Mus musculus: one gene and its partners. The protein of the gene in region 1 purifies or fractionates together with the protein of each later gene. This does not show direct contact. Links are inferred from orthologs where the notes say so. Each region holds a gene or a part of one and is shown in the gene's direction. Other genes may lie near its edges.

Region 1 (3,511 bases):
CTCGAGCCTGCCCTGGGCAAGAGCGTTAAGTTCATATACTTGGACATTTCTGTGTTATAAAATCCACCTTGGTGGCAGATACTTAAGGAAAACCACAACCCGTCAGGAGGTCCTGGCTAAGCGTGGGAGTCAGGTGACGTGAGGACCTCTCCAGCTCTCAAGTCTGTCAGCATTTATAAAGAAACATTACCCACATGGGAGGAAGTAAGGTGACAGGGTTTTTAAACTCCCATTTCTTTTATTTCTGAAAATCCCATTTTAAAATGTTCTTTTATTTACCATCCCCTCTGCTTATCTCCGAGTGCCTGCTCACAGGGCTCTGCTCTTTTAATGATCTTCTTCTGAAAATAGCCGGTGTGGCTCAAATAGGGCACATAAATTGAGTGTTATAACTTAACTGACTTTTAAAGCCATTAATGCTGACCTCTGAGACCTGGCTCCTTCCAGGGTTCCATCAATCACCTCTGTACCGCCTCCTCCAGCGCAGAGGCTTAGCTTCAGAGACAGCTTTTTTTTTTTTTTTTTTTTTTTGGTGCTGGGGTTATGGGGATGCTGCATAAAGAAAGCACGGTATTTCTTTAGTTCTTGTATCTCACGTGCTATGTAACTTAAGGTAGACGAATGTGTTGACGCTGCTGTGTCTCTTCAGGTTATTCTGTTAGACATTACACTGGAGCTTCAGAAGCAGATCATGTCTGAGCTGGAAATCCTTTATAAGGTATTTTTTTCTTGGTCACTTTTATCTATGTAAATGCACATGGTGTCAGCATCTAGGTGTTAAACTACTTTTGTCTTATTTTTGTTACAGTGTGACTCATCGTATATCATAGGATTTTACGGGGCATTTTTCGTAGAAAACAGGATTTCAATTTGTACAGAATTCATGGATGGTGAGTTGTTCCCTTTAAACTACATTAAAAATGATTTTTTGAATCGATTGACGTAAATGTAGTCTTGACACAGATGTCCATTCCACTTTGGAGTGAGTGGCATGTGTTAACAACTGCCTTCTTTACACTGGCAGTTCTCTTCTGTTAGGGTTCCTGCTATTAGATATTTGTAGCTTGAGTGTAATAACAAGAATGCAAGTTAATCTCCTTTTACTAAAAATTTGCACTCGGGTCCAGTCGGCGCGAGGTCCCTGCTGCCTCTGTGCAGCCTGCCTTTGCTGGGAACAGATGCTCTGTTCTTTTAATGTTTCAGTCACCAAAACAGATTTTCTTCTAAAGAAATCTATTAACCCAATGTCCTGTGTCTTTCAGAAAGAAATAGGTTCTTAATTGCTAGACAAGAAATTGTTTTTCAACACAGCTGTTTAGCCGAGCTGCGTTTGGCTCTGTTTGGACGTCAGGCCTGTCCTCCTCTGCTTCTCATTCATGGCCATCAGCAGCACTCCCTTGATCTGAATATTGTGACAGGATATAGAGCTCTGGAAATCCTCTCACTGAAATGTCATTGTTACTCTTTTTTTAATGTATTGTAAATTTGGACACGTTCCCACCTTTTACAAGGTCAGTTTCAGTATCTAGCCTCCATTAAAATGTAGCATATGTGCCTTTCTACTTTCTTAGGTACATGCACACACAAAACAGACATACCATACACATACATACATACCACACATGTGCACCACTCACACAAGAAATATACCACCATACATACATACACACACTACACATACATACATACATACATACATACACAAATGCATACACGTTTTTACTTCTTTATGTATACACACCATGCAGCCACATATACACACACACCACACATATTCTACACAATACACTCCCCACACACATCACACATATACATACCATACACATGCATCATCTATATACACTACACACATGCACACTCACACATAGGCACACCTTTCAACTTCTTTAGGTAAACACATATATACCACACACATAAACATACACAGTTACACCATACATATACACACACCATAAACACACACAGGTACACACACACAAACACATACCCTTGATAACCACATAGGTAGTGTAATGGACACCGGTTAGGAAGCATGGGTTTGTAATCCCAGTACAGCTCACTCTTGTGAACGTGCATCCTTTGAGATCTGTATAACTTCAGTTACATTAAAACACTTTTTATTAAGATAGAATTAAGATACTATAAAACTCACCCTTTTGAAGCATACAACTTACCATTGTTGTCTAATTTCAAAACATTTCTAAAGAGAAATCCCTAGCCACATTAAGTGACTTAATCTCATCCCCCTCCCTCTACCCGCTGGCAGTCATTGGTTTCCTCTCTGGATGTCATGCTGCACATCAGTGGAGTCCTGTAGTCGACAGCCTTTGTGCCTGGTGGCTCATGCTCAGAACAGTTTCCAAGTTCATGCGTAACCGCAGCAGTAGCACCCACCACCCCTCACGTCACTAGCAGTAGTTTATTGAGTGGCTATACAACATTTGCTTGTTTTTCTTCAGTTGATGGTCACTTGGGAAATTTCCACTTCTTCCTTTTACATCTAAAAGATGTTTAATTTTATTGTGTGTATATGAATGCATGCACACATAGGTGTGCATGTGTGCTACTGCCTGCCTGGAAGGCCAGAGGACAGCTTTAGGAGTTGACTCTCCTTCCACCAAGTGCCCCCAGGGATCAATTCAGGTGATCCAGTTCGCTGGGAGTGAGGTGTCAGGTGATCCAGCTCGCTGGGAGTGAGGTGTCAGGTGATCCAGCTCGCTGGGAGTGAGGTGTCAGGTCCTGTGGCAACTCTTAATTTTTGAGGAAGTGTCAATCTGTTCTAGTCTGTCAGTGCTCAAATCATTTGCAGTTACTGTAAGTACTAAAGAAATACTGCAACGCAACGAGAAAAACACCAGTCACTCTTTAAAAAAAAAAAAACAGACAATAGATTGGTTATGAATTTCTCAAAGAAAGACACAATGGTCAACAGCCACATGAAAATACTTATCAACAGTGGTTGTCAAGGAAACCTAAATCAAAAACACATACATATTCATACCTGAGACCACATACACACAAAACAAAATCAACCACATAATAAGTGTAGACAAAGGCACAGAGAAGTTAGAATCCTCAGACAATGTTGGTGTGAAACTGAAATGGTGTAAAATAGATTAGAACAGCCTGACACTTCTTCACAATTTCCACAGAACCAAGTGAGTCCACTGCTACAGAAACCCAAGACAACTGGCTAGCACATGCACATTGTAGCCTGCTGCTGTGTTTATAGCAGCTCACAAGTGACCAAGATGGCTCAGTAAATAGAGGGGCTTGCTCTTTATAGCATCTTTCTTCTGCCTTCTTAGGGTATTGGTCCCTGTGCCAGTTTCAGTACACTACATTACATCCCAGTTACAGTACATTAGACCTCAGAAGGTCCTGTTTTGTTTTATGTAATTTCTAACTATTAATAGCCTATGTTTTGGGGGAAGGGCTAGCTTCATATACCTCCCTTTAGGTCTTTAAACATGGTTTCTCTTAGTTACATAGACATGGTGATTTGAGGGTT
Region 2 (4,226 bases), on another chromosome or scaffold:
GATAGCAGAGCACTGAGTGCCCATCCTCTACTGGAGGGCTCATCAGTCCAACAAGCTTCCAGATGCAGCCTTGGAAAAAGGCAAGGCTAGATTGCCAGCTGAAGGACATGGCAGGCCACCTTTAGAACAGAGGCACTGGCACAACTTGGTTTTCTGGCTCCTGGAACTGGGCCAACCTGTGACCAGCACCTTCATGCGGATGCCTAGAACTCCAGCTTCTCTGAAAAGACTGGGACCTGCTCCTCTCTAGGTCCAAAGAGCTGCATGCAGTAGGGAAGAGGCTAGAGAAGCGAAACCAGCTTGAGAAACAGCTTGTGCTCACATAGGGAGGGCGCACGTACCCGCGCGCTGTGTACGTGGGAGACCGGGGAGGCTGAGGGGTGGGGAGTGTTCTACCCAGTAGCGCAAGCTGCTAGCTCGGTTCTCTGTTCACTAGAAGGTGTCCGCAGTCACTCACCCCCACAGCCCCCGTGCCCTGTGACCGATCCAGGTCAGCTATCCCTCCCTCTGCGCTCCACTCCCCCACTGTTATGTGGGCCTCTTAGGGCCACGCGTGGAGGGTCGTTCAACCCTGGCCCACGGTAGGCAGACTTGGGGAAAATTTCTTCCCAGGGTAAGATCAAGGTAGGGGAAAAAAAAAAAAAAAAAAAGCCACCCAGCCAAGCGGCGACGAAGACACTGCCCCCGCCGCAGCAGGGGAGGTGGAGCCTAGGGGGGAGGGGTGGAGACCGCCGAGACAGGCCTAGAAACTGCTGGAAGAAATCGCAGCACCACCGCTGCTGATCCTTCCGCCGCAGGCCGCCAAAGAGTCCCTACCAGCCCAGGCCCGTGCCCCTCCCCTCGGGGAAAGCGGCTCCCAGCCTGAAGCTGTGCTGTACCCGGGAGGGTGGGGATGGGGGAATCGGGGGCCTCCTTAAAGTTGGACAAGGAATTTATCATCCTTTTCTCTTGATGTGCGATTTGTAGGGAACATTCTAGTAAGATCGGGTCTGGAAATGGCAGCCGAGTTGGCCACCTCCATTCTCTTTCAGTCCCCTGAGTTCTGGACTCTTGGGGGGTGGGGGGGTGGAAGCGCCTACCTTGAGTTTTCTGAGGCAGTCCGTAGGGTATTCGCCCGCAGATACATCCCTAATTGCATATGCATGCTCCCTGCTCATCTTGAGGGGGGACATGTCCTACTCCTGCAGAAATGGGGGATGTGCAAAACGATATTGAATTGGCCTTGACTCAGGAACCAGGCCCGGGGTCCCGCTCCTCCCCGCCCCCTCCACGATCTGCTACCATGACGTCAAGGTGGGCGGGCGGCGGCAGGTGCGTGGCCCGCAGCCACTCCTTTAAGGCGGAGGGATCCAAGGGCGGGGCCCGGGCTGTGCTTCGCCTTATATAGGGCGGTCGGGGGCGTTCGGGAGCTCTCTTGAGTCACCCCCGCGCAGCCTAGGCTTGCCGTGCGAGTCGGACTTGGTCCGGGCCCACCACCCTGCTCTGTACTACTACTCGGCTTTCCCGTCAAGGTAAGGCCGGGGTCTCTCGTCCCCGGCGGCTCTCCGGGGGCTTCTTCCCGGGGTCCCAGCCTCCATCTCATCTGTCCCAAAGCCTCCTTCCCCGGCGGGGCAGCCTGTGGAGATAACGTGTCTAGAGGTTAGAGGTTCGGGCTGTACCCCGGCGGGCTTGCACGCGAGGCTCCCCGGGGCGGGTGGATTCCCCGGAGCGTGGGGTGGGGGTGCGGCCCGGCCAGGTGGTGGGCGGCCGCACGTGGTAGTCGCCGACCCGGGACGCTGCCATGTTTGCCCTCCACTTCCGGGCGCGGCTGCAGGGTCCGCGCGGTGGCGGGCTGCTCTGCGTGACTCAGCAAGGCCTGGGGAGGTTGGCCTGGCTGCCTCCCCCGGACGCCGCCGGTACCAACGTGCTTGATTTTGGGGAGGGGTGCACAGCAGGGACGCCGGAACCCACCGCGCTTTCCCTTTCCAGATCTTTCTGCCCTCCCAGTGGAGGGCGGGGGAGGAGAGACAGAGCAGGCACGAGAAGATTCCTAGGTCCCTCCCTTTCTCCTCCCCTCCCCGGAGCTCAGATTGTTCTGGAAGCCTGGGCGCCCCGCCCCAGTGCCCGGATGCTGGGGCGGTGGGAGGGTTTCAATGGCGCCCCCTCCCCGTGTGGCTCCTGCCGACGCATGTCCGGCAGTGACGAGGGTCGTTGGACGGCTGGGCCACCATTTTACTTGGGTTCCGGCCTATGCAAGTCTGCACAGTGAGTGGTCACGGTGGAGCTCTTGATTTCTTTGTCCTGATTTAATTGCCCCGTGAGCGCCTCCCAGACTACAGCTTCAAGGTTCTCTTGCCCTGCTGGGTGGAATAAAATAAAAATTAAAAAAGACTGCTTTTTCTGTTAAAGTTGTTCCTCACCCCAATGAGGAGATTGTAGTTAAGGGGTGTGAGTACCAGGGGTTGCTTGAGGTTCTTTTTTATGTATTGTTAACTTAGTCTGGATTTTTACCATATTGCCAGGTGTTCTGTTCAGAGTCAGTGAGCTATGCACTGAACATGCCAATGTTCAAGAGTTTGACTTTTGGGCATCTGTTCTGGAAAACCCATCTTTTAGGTTTTTTTCTGTCATTTTTGTCTTGGCCATTGTAGCTTAAATGTCCTTTTTTAAAGAAAATGGCTGCTCTTGTCTCTTTGGGTTGGATACTTTCCCAGACTAAAGAAGTTTGAGCTGGATATTAAAATGTGTGTCTATAATGGTCCTTAGTAGTAATTCTTTCATTCTTAGATGCCTGAGGAAGTGCACCATGGAGAGGAGGAGGTGGAGACCTTTGCCTTTCAGGCAGAAATTGCCCAGCTCATGTCCCTCATCATCAACACTTTCTATTCAAACAAGGAGATTTTCCTCCGCGAGTTGATCTCTAATGCTTCAGATGTGAGTATTCTGTTGTTGAATTTCTAAGGCTTCACGGAAGTGTGTGTGTGTGTGGGAGTGATTGAGAAGAACAGTTCAGTTGATGTTGAAGGGGGAGGGACTGTTTGGAAAAATAAAATAATCTGGCTTTTTGCGTTTACTACAGGCCCTGGACAAGATTCGATATGAGAGCCTGACGGACCCTTCTAAGTTGGACAGTGGGAAAGAGCTGAAAATTGACATCATCCCCAACCCTCAGGAGCGCACGCTGACTTTGGTGGACACAGGCATTGGCATGACCAAGGCTGACCTCATTAATAACCTGGGAACCATTGCTAAGTCTGGCACGAAGGCGTTCATGGAGGCTCTCCAGGTGTGTGGCCTTTCATCCACACCGTCCTCTAATTTGTTACTGCTTAAGTTAAAATTTGTCTGTCTAGGGTATTACATATTAGGACACTTATTAGAAAAAAAGTACAAGTGGTTGGTCAGGACAGCTTTGACCCCTAGATCTCTGGACATTGAACTGATTGTTACCTTGCGCAGCAGATGGTTATACTTGGCCAAGAACCATGTTGCTGATCCTCTTTACTTCAAACCCTTTGCAGGCTGGTGCAGACATCTCCATGATCGGGCAGTTTGGTGTCGGATTCTACTCGGCCTATCTAGTTGCAGAGAAAGTGGTTGTGATCACGAAGCACAATGATGATGAGCAGTATGCCTGGGAGTCGTCTGCGGGTGGCTCCTTCACCGTCCGGGCAGACCATGGTGAGGCAGCAGGCTACATTGTGGGGAAACCTTAGACGTTGTATTCTATAAAAGTACATTTTAAGGGGTGGTGAGTGCCAGCACTTGGGTGAGTTCTTAAGGCAAGCAAAGGGGCTACACAGGAATCTTAGCTTGCTTGAGAAACCAGGAACGAAAAAAGCGTAGTTCGTTCTTGTATTTTAGTTTCAGTTTTTCATGTCTTGATTTGTTCTCTGTAGGTGAGCCCATTGGCCGGGGTACCAAAGTGATCCTTCACCTCAAAGAAGACCAGACAGAGTACTTGGAGGAGAGGAGGGTCAAGGAAGTGGTGAAGAAACATTCGCAGTTCATAGGCTATCCCATCACCCTCTATGTGAGTATGGGCTTGGCAGTGTTGGAGCAGGCTAATGGCACTGGGCCTTGCTGGTGCTACATTCTCCACAATTAATTACATGTGTCATTGGTGATTTAGTTGGAGAAGGAACGGGAGAAGGAGATCAGTGATGATGAGGCAGAGGAAGAGAAAGGTGAGAAAGAGGAGGAAGATAAGGAGGATGAGGAGAAGCCTAAGATTGAAGATGTGGGAT
Region 3 (4,117 bases), about 42 Mb from region 1:
GCACACCTTTAGCCCCAGCACTGGGGAGAAGAGGTAGAAAGATCTGTTAGTTTGAAGTCAGCCTGGTCTACATAGTGAATTCCAAGACAGCCAGAGCTGTCTTATATACAGTGAGACTCTGGTGGGGGTGGGGGTGGGGTGGGAATTAAGGGCAAACATGATTAAAAAAAACAAATTGTATATTAATGTTTTGTCTGCAAGTATATCTGTCCACCACATGCATGCCTGGTGTAGTCAAAGGCCAAATGGGGACATAATATATATATCCTGGGTTGGACTTACAGATGGGTGTGAGTGGCCATGTAGGTGTTGGGAACAGAATCCGGGTGCTCTGGAAGACCAGCCAGTCTCCAAACTATTGAGCCAACTTTCCAGCCTCAATTTTGACTTTTTTTTTTCCATTTTTTATTAGGTATTTAGCTCATTTACATTTCCAATGCTATACCAAAAGTCCCCCATACCCACCCACCCCCACTCCCCTACCCACCCACTCCCCCTTTTTGGCCCTGGCGTTCCCCTGTACTGGGGCATATAAAGTTTGCGTGTCCAATGGGCCTCTCTTTCCAGTGATGGCCGACTAGGCCATCTTTTGATACATATGCAGCTAGAATCAAGAGCTCCGGGGTACTGGTTAGTTCATAATGTTGTTCCACCTATAGGGTTGCAGATCCCTTTAGCTCCTTGGGTACTTTCTCTAGCTCCTCTATTGGGAGCCCTGTGATCCATCCATTAGCTGGCTGTGAGCATCCACTTCTGTGTTTGCTAGGCCCCGGCATAGTCTCACAAGAGACAGCTACATCTGGGTCCTTTCGATAAAATCTTGCTAGTGTATGCAATGTTGACTTTTTTTTTTTAGAGTGTTGTTTGTATAACAACCCTGACCGTCCCTAAAATTACTCTGTAGGCTAGGCTGGCCTCGATCCGCCGGCCTCTGCCTCCGGAGTACTGGCATAGCGCCACTACCGCCCAGCCAATTTTGACTTTTTGACAGTGTCAATATGTAGCCCTGGCTGGACTAGAACTCCTGGAGAGCCACCTGCTTTTGCCTCTAGCGTACTTGGATTACCGTGGGCCACCACGCCCAACGCGACTAACCTTTTGTTTCTAAAGGATGGTCAGTCTGGTTTCGGCGGGAACTTCCAGAAGGCCTCACCACATACTCCTGGCCCTTTAAAGAAGACCTCCGGTTGCCAATGCCGCCGACTCCCGTTGCTAAGGACGTAACGTCCCGCGCCGACGCTGGGGCGGGGCCGTCCTGCGCGGCGCCCTGGGCGGAAGCGGAAGGGGCGGGGCTCGCCGAGCGGACTCTCTAGCCCTTGTGGGTCCCTGTTCAGCGCCCGGCCGTGTGGAGCCCCGGGAGCCAGTCCGGGCCTCCGAAGCGAAGATGGTGGACTACAGCGTTTGGGATCACATCGAGGTGTCGGACGATGAGGACGAGACGCACCCCAACATAGACACTGCCAGCCTCTTCCGCTGGCGGCACCAGGTGGGGCTGTGCGCGCTCATCCCCTTCCCCCCCACTCCCGGGACCCCCCGCTCTAGAGTTCTGACCTCTTCCCCAGGCCACCTGGCGTGGGGGCGGGGGAGACCTTAGTTATTGACATCTGGAGCCGCCTGCTCCACAATCTAGACTTTTCTCTTTCTTTTCTTTTCTTTTTCTTTTTTTTTTTTTTTGAAACAAAATTTCACTGTGTAACCTTCCCTGGCCTAGAACTTGCTGTGTAGAACAGGCTGGTTTCTAACTCACAGTGATCCTCCTGCCTCTGCCTTCCCAGTACTGGGATTAGAGACATGTGCCTTCATGCAGGGCCGGACTTTTTAATTCCATCCCAGGACTCCTGGCTTCTTCACCGTAATTCTTGACCTGTATCTCCAGGCGTTCTCTCTGTGCTATGGTTCTCTTCTGTTTGTAAGTTTATTTATTGTGTGTGTTCCCGTGTGCACGTGGCACAGCATGCCTATGGTGATCACAGGATAACTTGTAGAAGTTGGGCCTCTCTTTTCACCATGTTGGAACTGGCTGTGGAACTCCAGTCGCCCCACGTTGCCACAAGCACCTTTACACTCTGAGCCATTTTATCAGTTGGTAATACTTTAGTCAGAGTCTTGCCTCTCCCCATCCCCAAGCTGACCCTTGTGTGTAGGGTCCCCACTATCCTGTGCAGAACCTTCTGTTCTTCCTCAGAGTCTGGACCCCAGGTTCTGTTAGGTGATCTCATAGCCCAGCCACGCACCCACTTCATATTGCACGTCTCCCTTCTGCCTCTCCTCACTACTTAGAGTCTGGAGCCACAAAACTTCTGACTATGGCATCTATTTCCCAGGATCTTAGGCATGAATTTCTATTAAAGGCCCAGAGACGACCCCCTCCCCCCCCAACTTCCAAACTAAATGAGCCCTTAATTTAACTGTCAATCTTAGCTTGCAGCTGGGATTCCCCAGTCCAGGATCCCTTTCCCTGGGTTATAGACTTGAGTCCCACATGGGACATACCTGTAGAGCCCCCTTATCCTCTGTATTTGACCTCCATCTCCACTCTTGCCCATCATTCAGTTCCAGTGGCTCTCCTTATTCTCACCTCCTGTAGACTCTTATTTCCTGTTACTCCAGGAAACCCCACCCACCTAACTTCCTGTTAGAACCTCTGCTCCTTCTAGTATAGTAAGTAGACCCTCTCCTTCCCACCTTGGCTCCTATATGAACTGTAGCCATCTTTGAAAATTCACCAAACCAGGAGCCAGATGATGATGACACACATTTTTAATCCTAGCTCTCAGGGGGCAGAGGCAGGCAGGCCTGTGAGTTCAAGGCCAACCTGGTCTACAGAGAGTTCTACAGCTAGCTAGGGCTACACAGAGAAACCCTGTCTGGAGGGATGGGGCCGGGAGTCGGGTAGGATAAAGAGAGGGGGGAGGGGAGGAAGAGAAAGAAAAGACAGCTCACCAACCCAGAAAACCAAGCCTGTCCTGTCCTACCTGCCCGTTCCCTCCAGCTTCATCTGTCTCTCTCCAGGGTTCAGAGCATCCTAGTTAACTCTGGACCTCCCAGATAATGTTCCCACATAACCTTACTTTCTGAGCATGGTAGCACACCTGTAAACTCAGGTCTTAGGAGGAGGACGAGGAAGGAGGATCTGGGATTCAGAGTCAGTCCTCGATATAGGGCAAATTCTAGGCTAGCCTGGACTACATGAGACAATATCAAAAACCAAATGGGCTGGAGTTCAGTTGTATGGCATTGCCTTGGGCTCCATCTCTAGCACTGCTTAAAAACTAGCCATGGTGGGGCAGGCCTGTAGTCTGAGCACTGGGGAGAGGGAAGCAGGAGGGTCAGAAGTTCAAAGTCGTCAGCCACGGTAAGTGTGAGGCTGGCACAGGCTACAGGGGATCCTGTCAACCACCAAGCAAATAAAATACAGTCCTCTGCAGTTTTACATCTCTCCAAAACAGACGCCCCAGATTGAGACCTTAGAACCCCAAGTGTGAGCAAGCCATGCTCTTGCCCCTCCCTTGTGCCATCATTACCTGCAGGCCTGTAGCATACTACCAAGATGTGAGGGTGGCCTGGATGTGTGGTTCAGTGGTAGAGTACTTCTCTAGCGTGCAAGAGGTACTGGGTTCCAACTCTGTCGCAGCAGTAAAGAGACAATGGCCTAACCTGCTCCCCAAATTAAAACTTCTATACCCATATACCTGTGTGTCTTATACTCTTTGTTTAAGTTACATCTTAATTTTTTTGTGTGTGTTAATTCTTATGTATGTGTGCCGAGGTATCCTTGTGGCAGTCAAAGGATAACTTGATAGAGTCCACTTTCTCCTTACATGTGGGTTCTTGGGATCAAACTCAAGTCATCAGGCTTGGTAGCAGGCCTTTTCCCACTGAGTCCTCTCATTGGCCCCTGTGCTTGTTATACTCTCAAGCTGAGGGCAGGTACTTTCCATTTAGGAATTTTGCATCTCACCTTCTTGGGGAAAACTTCTCATTACTCCTAGAAAGTCCTTCCCCATCCTCCCCAAATCCAGCATTCGGCTCCCAGTCCCACCCACACACCTATTCCTTCCAGTTTCCTGGGAAGACCACCTGCCAGGCAGCAGTGTGTGGCAGCAGAGAAGCCCAG

Evidence for each region. Proteins that work in one complex are often made in the same cells at the same time.
Region 2: the proteins of Map2k5 (region 1) and Hsp90ab1 purify together in Homo sapiens (affinity purification with mass spectrometry; 3 studies listed by BioGRID and IntAct, with this or other methods). This does not show direct contact. The link is inferred for Mus musculus from reciprocal best matches to the Homo sapiens genes MAP2K5 and HSP90AB1.
Region 3: the proteins of Map2k5 (region 1) and Cdc37 purify together in Homo sapiens (affinity purification with mass spectrometry; 3 studies listed by BioGRID and IntAct, with this or other methods). This does not show direct contact. The link is inferred for Mus musculus from reciprocal best matches to the Homo sapiens genes MAP2K5 and CDC37.

What each region holds. Positions count from the first base shown.
Region 1 is NC_000075.6:63,290,903-63,294,413, reverse strand, and holds part of Map2k5 (dual specificity mitogen-activated protein kinase kinase 5), read left to right. Parts: intron 1-649; coding exon 650-718; intron 719-808; coding exon 809-890; intron 891-1,638; exon of another isoform or gene 1,639-2,698; intron 2,699-2,729; exon of another isoform or gene 2,730-2,880; intron 2,881-3,511. UniProt on the Homo sapiens protein: Acts as a scaffold for the formation of a ternary MAP3K2/MAP3K3-MAP3K5-MAPK7 signaling complex.
Region 2 is NC_000083.6:45,570,452-45,574,677, reverse strand, and holds the start of Hsp90ab1 (heat shock protein HSP 90-beta), read left to right. Parts: upstream 1-1,416; 5' UTR 1,417-1,511; intron 1,512-2,766; coding exon 2,767-2,913; intron 2,914-3,058; coding exon 3,059-3,265; intron 3,266-3,500; coding exon 3,501-3,660; intron 3,661-3,878; coding exon 3,879-4,012; intron 4,013-4,111; coding exon 4,112-4,226. UniProt on the Homo sapiens protein: Molecular chaperone that promotes the maturation, structural maintenance and proper regulation of specific target proteins involved for instance in cell cycle control and signal transduction. Undergoes a functional cycle linked to its ATPase activity.
Region 3 is NC_000075.6:21,147,125-21,151,241, reverse strand, and holds the start of Cdc37 (hsp90 co-chaperone Cdc37), read left to right. Parts: upstream 1-1,307; 5' UTR 1,308-1,384; coding exon 1,385-1,486; intron 1,487-4,117. UniProt on the Homo sapiens protein: Co-chaperone that binds to numerous kinases and promotes their interaction with the Hsp90 complex, resulting in stabilization and promotion of their activity. Inhibits HSP90AA1 ATPase activity.